2 linked regions of the Kluyveromyces lactis genome follow. The protein of the gene in region 1 purifies or fractionates together with the protein of each later gene. This does not show direct contact. Links are inferred from orthologs where the notes say so. Each region holds a gene or a part of one and is shown in the gene's direction. Other genes may lie near its edges.

The links. The genes of interacting proteins can lie anywhere in the genome.
Region 2: the proteins of EFG1 (region 1) and NOP1 purify together in Saccharomyces cerevisiae (affinity purification with mass spectrometry, with the first as the bait; 3 studies listed by BioGRID). This does not show direct contact. The link is inferred for Kluyveromyces lactis from reciprocal best matches to the Saccharomyces cerevisiae genes EFG1 and NOP1.

Annotation. Positions count from the first base shown.
Region 1 is NC_006037.1:870,825-873,541, reverse strand, and holds EFG1 (Efg1p), read left to right. Parts: upstream 1-1,465; coding exon 1,466-2,152; downstream 2,153-2,717. Other genes in the region: KLLA0_A09933g (DUF2406 domain-containing protein), read left to right, coding at 284-877; SLH1 (RNA helicase), read right to left, coding at 2,238-2,717. UniProt on the Saccharomyces cerevisiae protein: Involved in rRNA processing. Required growth at elevated temperatures, resistance to hydroxyurea and for cell cycle progression.
Region 2 is NC_006039.1:399,925-403,033, forward strand, and holds NOP1 (rRNA methyltransferase NOP1), read left to right. Parts: upstream 1-1,496; coding exon 1,497-2,504; downstream 2,505-3,109. Other genes in the region: trans-2-enoyl-CoA reductase (NADPH) TSC13, read right to left, coding at 1-666.

The DNA of each region.
Region 1 (2,717 bases):
TCCATACATGCCGCATTGACACAATCGTATTTTCTACAAACCTTCTGAACTTATCAGCCGTCCGAAGTGGCTGAGTTTGCGAAACTTTTCCATTCCTCTCTCGCATTGCATGATTCAAATCTTCATCAGTCTCGGCCTTTTGGACAAAAATCTTATAATAGGAAAAAAGACTATTTAAATAGAACCTGACCATAAACATTGACTTCCATCAAAAGGGGAGAGTACCTCTCTGTATTCAGTTCAACAACGTCCAAGGGATTAATATACAAGGTTATAATACAGTATGGGTGTTTTCAACAGACGTAGTAGTGGTGATTCGAGCAGCCATGGTTCCACCGGTTCAAACGAAGTGAAGATTACAAAGGAAGACCGTCAGCATTTGAAAGTTCGGACTGCATCGGTTCATGATCCTATCCTTGAGGCGGTGCAAGAGATGCAGCCCTTCGAGCAAGCAGCAGACACGTTCCAGGGCAATATGAACAGACAGTCGCACGTGCCCACGGGGGAGTTGAAGGACGTGTTTGGACAACCTATCCAGCAACCTGATGTGTCTAACCCCACGCGGTCACGTGACGAGCGTCCGTTGGATACGATTAGAGGCTTTGAGTATTCAATCTCTGGAGATCCGACTTGGTCGCAGCAGCTAGAAACGCCACAGTACGGGTTTAGGGTCAGGCCCGGGTTCCAGGCGTATACTGGTGGTGTTGCAGGCAATGGGAACGACCATCATGGGTACCCATCGAACTTGAATATGAATACGAATACGACGAATTCGTACCAGCAACAAGGTGTGTATCAGGCACCCGTTTCTGATGCGAATAAGGAACAGAAGACGAAGAAAAAGAGAGGGTTTTTCGGCAGGAAGAAGAAGGACTGACACTGGGGCGAGAATGCCCCAGTGCTATTCTTCTTCTTCTTCTATTTACTTCCCTCTCTTTTTGCGTCAGTTCTCTCATTCCATGTAACACATACACATCCACGCCCTCTTCAATTCTCCAAAAAAAACGTCTGATATCCTGTAATACCCTAATTATTGGTGGAAAAAATGATCAGAGTTTGCTGGTGCCGCGTCCCTCCAGGAGCAATGCCTTGTTTAAAGGATGCACCTTTTACCTGTAAGATACCCTTGGGATTTTCCCTGGCAAACTTCATCTTACTGTGTGGATATAAATAAAATATGTGCACACGTACAGATATATAATTCGAAAAATTACGATACCATACTTATGTACTACTGCTTCGTAGGTATTCTAGGACAACAACGCTTCTTGAGTTCTCTCGTTGTTTGTTCACGTCTCTTCATATACCTCATTGCCAAAGAAAAAGAAATAAAGCTTTGATTCGAGCTGAAAAGAATCTTCTATGAGATGAGATGAGATGAGGTACAGCTGAATAGGTTGGTAACAGGACAATAGCTGGCCTGGATACAAAGACTGTGCAGTAAACCATATTCCACATTGATAATATGAGCGGTAAATCTAAACGTCCTAGACAAAGACACGATTCGTCGTTGCAGTTGGCCAGTGTCATTGGTGCTGGAGCGAATAAGATCAAGAAACAGATAAGAAACGTAGAGAGACTACTACAGAAGAGAAGAGACGTACTTCCTGACACTGTAATCGTGGAGAAGGAACGTATGTTGGAAGGTTTGAAGTTTGAATTGAAAGAGGCAGAGTTGAGGCAGGTTGGTCGTAAAAATGCTAAGAAATATCATATGGTGAGGTTTTTCGAACGGAAAAAAGCGTTACGGAGGTACAAGCAAGCGTCCAAGAAAGTGATTGCTGATCCTGAGAATAAGAGATTTCAAAACGAGTTACGTGACTGTACGATAGATCTATGTTATGTTGTCAATTTCCCAAGACTGAGTAAATATATTGCGTTATATCCAACTGGCTCTTCAGATGCTAAAGAATTGTCTGAAGAAGTGAAGAAGGGTTTAGATAGTACTGACGCCAAGAGAACTGAATTCCGTAATCTTGTTGCTAAGCAATTGGATGAGGGTACTTTGCCCGTGTCCTTGAGCCAAATTTTGGAAGGTAAGAGATTGAATAAGGACAGTACGGGTGTCATGTTGGAAGAAGAGCAAGTAGAAGAAGAAGCTACAGAGAAACAGTTCAACGACGAAGAAGAAGAAGACGATTTCTTCGAGTGAAGTGTAGGCAACTGCTTGCCAACTGTTGTACTTTTATTAAAAAGAATTAATGTATTTATATATGTGTTTAAAATGTAAGAGTTCCTTACTCCATCAATTTGTGCTTCAGGTGGTACTTGATATCAAGAGCATCACTTACCAAAACGAAATCTAATTCTTTACCGCGAATATCTTCAGGTACAACAAAGTCGAAACTTAGTAAACCTTTTCCATTGGGTCCTAGTCTTGGCTGACATCTTTTCAACATGATTAGTTCATCGTTTTGATATGCAATCGCAAACCAGAGCTCTCTTTGAGTCTTTGGATATTTCGCACAGTATACTGAAAATTCTTTAGGTACCCTGTTATGGTGTGTGGCCTTAAGAACTAATGATTCATTACTGGTCTGAGAAGTGAACACAATATTGTCTAATATGGGTAACCTGGATATTTCCCTCAACATACGTTTTTGATGGTCAGGTGTAACATGGTACTGTCTGGACATGATATTCTTCACCTTGTTCTTGGCGCCATTGTCATCTTGAAGTCTTGCTAAAGAGTCTAAACTCATCTTGTATCCATTATC
Region 2 (3,109 bases), on another chromosome or scaffold:
CAATCCAAACAAAGCGGTTAAGACTCTGAAATCAGATATCTTGAGAGCGCTGTAAACTCTGTATAAGGTCTTGTTAGCGAATGGGAACCCGTAACCAAAGTAACCCAACGAGATCAACCCGTTCAAGATCCAGTAATGGAAAGAGTTCTTGAACAAATTGAACAATGGCATGGTTTCCAGGGAGAAAGAATGAATGAACAATGTTTCGAATTCTCTCTTTAGATAATGGACCATAATCAGACGGTAGATGAACTTATTGAAGAAATCGTTATATGGAACATTTTTAGAATGAAATTTGTCCCTAACTGTTGCGTTTAAAGACAAAAGGTAAACTAAAGAATGGATCAAGATCGGACCCAAATATTCGATGAAAAACACCAGTCTCCAAGAGATCTGCGGACCCAAATCCTTAACATACCACTCGTTAACTGAATCGAACGTGTTTTTCTTACCAACATCGTTCAATTCAGAGGGCCCAATGGCGACTTGCTTACCTTCTTTCAGATAGCTTAACCTTAACCTGTTAACGCTAATATTGTGATTGCTTTTCGAAATCTGTTGCAAAACAGATTGATATGTCAACGTATTTTCTGTTGGAACTTCCAACTTGACGTCTTTTAAGCTCTTTGAGCGTGATTTAATAAAAATTGAACTGGATGCAGACATAAAGGGACACTTATCTAGGTAATATCTTCAACTGTCGGATTAAAATATACAGCGATAGTTTGGAAAATAGGATCTCAAAACTAAACCAGAAAATTTATCCAGATATACTAATTCAGATTCTGATTGCTATAACGTACAAAAGTCAAAGCTGGTTCCACTTCTCTGATTTTTTATCTGCTTTTATAAAGATACCGATATTCACAACAACAACCAAAAATGATCTCATCTGCATATTTTCGCAATGTTGACTATGAAAAACTTGTATAGAAATCCTTAGTAAACGTACGCATTGTAGCAAGTATCTGGCTCAACATAGCAAAAAAAAATCTTGAAAAGTTGTAGATTCATATGATTATATAATCAATTCATATCACGTGATACAGATGTGACAATAGTCATGTGACTTTAACGTTCATCGTTCTGTACGTACCAAGAGGCACAGAAAGACCAAAGATGAGAACTTTGAAAAAGAAATTTAATATTGTTTTTTCATTCAAAATTTTTCAGCTGAAAAAAAAAAGTTTCGAAAGCTCATCTCATCGAATGTAAAGTAAGAGTTTATTAAGTTGTTCTTGCTTGAAAGAAGTAATCAATTGTTTATAGAATAGTATTGTGTACGTTTTCTGTTCCTATAATCTACCCATTTTAGAAGAGTTTTACAGCCGTCCAGGATTCTGTTTCAAAGTCAACGACAATACCTGTTACTGATTCACAATTTTAATTCTTTTTTTTTCCTTTGTCCAATTTAGAGAGAAGAAGATCAAGAGCAGCAACAGCAGCATAATCATTATATCTCAAGACAGATAATTCCCAACTAGTTAAGAATAATAATGGCATTCCAAGCAGGTTCTAGAGGTGGCAGAGGCGGTTCCCGTGGTGGATTCGGCGGTGGTTCCAGAGGTGGTTCCAGAGGTGGATTTGGCGGTGGCCGTGGTGGATTCGGTGGTTCCCGTGGTGGTTCCAGAGGTGGATTCGGTGGTGGTCGTGGTGGTCCTCGTGGTGGCGCTCGCGGTGGTTCCAGAGGTGGATTTGGTGGTGCCCGTGGTGGTTCCAGAGGTGGTCCTCGTGGTGGTGCTCGTGGTGGTGCTCGTGGTGGTGCCCGTGGTGGTGCTAAGGTTGTTATCGAACCTCATAAGCATGCTGGTGTTTTTATTGCCAGAGGTAAAGAAGATCTTTTGGTCACAAAGAACATCGCTCCAGGTGAATCTGTGTACGGTGAAAAGAGAGTTTCAGTTGAAGAACCTTCCACTGAAGAAGGTGTCCCACCAACTAAGGTGGAATACCGTGTTTGGAATCCTTTCAGATCCAAATTGGCTGCCGGTATCATGGGTGGTTTGGATGAACTATTCATTGCTCCAGGTAAGAAGGTTCTATATCTAGGTGCTGCTTCCGGTACATCTGTGTCCCACGTTTCCGATGTCGTTGGTCCAGAAGGGTTGGTTTACGCTGTTGAGTTCTCTCACAGACCAGGTAGAGAATTGATCTCTATGGCTAAGAAGAGACCAAATGTTATCCCAATTATTGAAGATGCTAGACATCCACAAAAATACAGAATGCTTATCGGTATGGTTGACGCCGTCTTCGCAGATGTTGCTCAACCTGATCAAGCCCGTATTATTGCTTTGAACTCTCATATGTTCTTGAAGGATCAAGGTGGTGTCGTTATCTCTATCAAGGCTAACTGTATCGATTCTACTGTTGATGCTGAAACTGTGTTCGCTAGAGAAGTTCAAAAATTGAGAGAAGAAAAGATTAAGCCTTTGGAACAATTGACTTTGGAACCTTATGAAAGAGACCATTGTATCGTTATCGGTAAATACATGAGAAGTGGATTATAAGAGCTGCTAAAGAAATATTGATATTTTGAAACCAATGCTAGAGTATGCCTACTTGGTTCATGATTCCTTCTATTAATCTTTTTTTTTTGGCTTCTAATCTTTTTTTGCTTACTTTTTAGTTTTAAAAACCTTCATTCCAATACAATCATTAACACTATAATATTATTTGAAATTTTGCATCTCATTGATTCGTGATAAAGTTCTACAAACTAGAAAAGTCTCCACTTCGTCTTCACTTGTATTTTGTCACTCTGTGTGTTTCTTTTACTTACAGTCCAGGTCCTTCGCCTGTTCAAAGGAGATCGACTAACTGACGGGAAAAGAATAGAAGAAGATTTCAAAACCTTGTTCATCAACTTGACAATACAAAAGAACCCATTTTCACAATAACGGTATTAATACTCGAACACTCTTAACCTTATTTTGTACATTTAATTTGTAGATATATTATTATTATTATCACATACTATATATAACTTATATATATCAATAACAACCATACGTTCTAGAAAATCATGTCTGGTAGCAGTGAATTAAAGGATATAACCCCATACGGGTTACGATACCATAATACGGTCCATCTGTGCATCTGTTGACAAACTCTT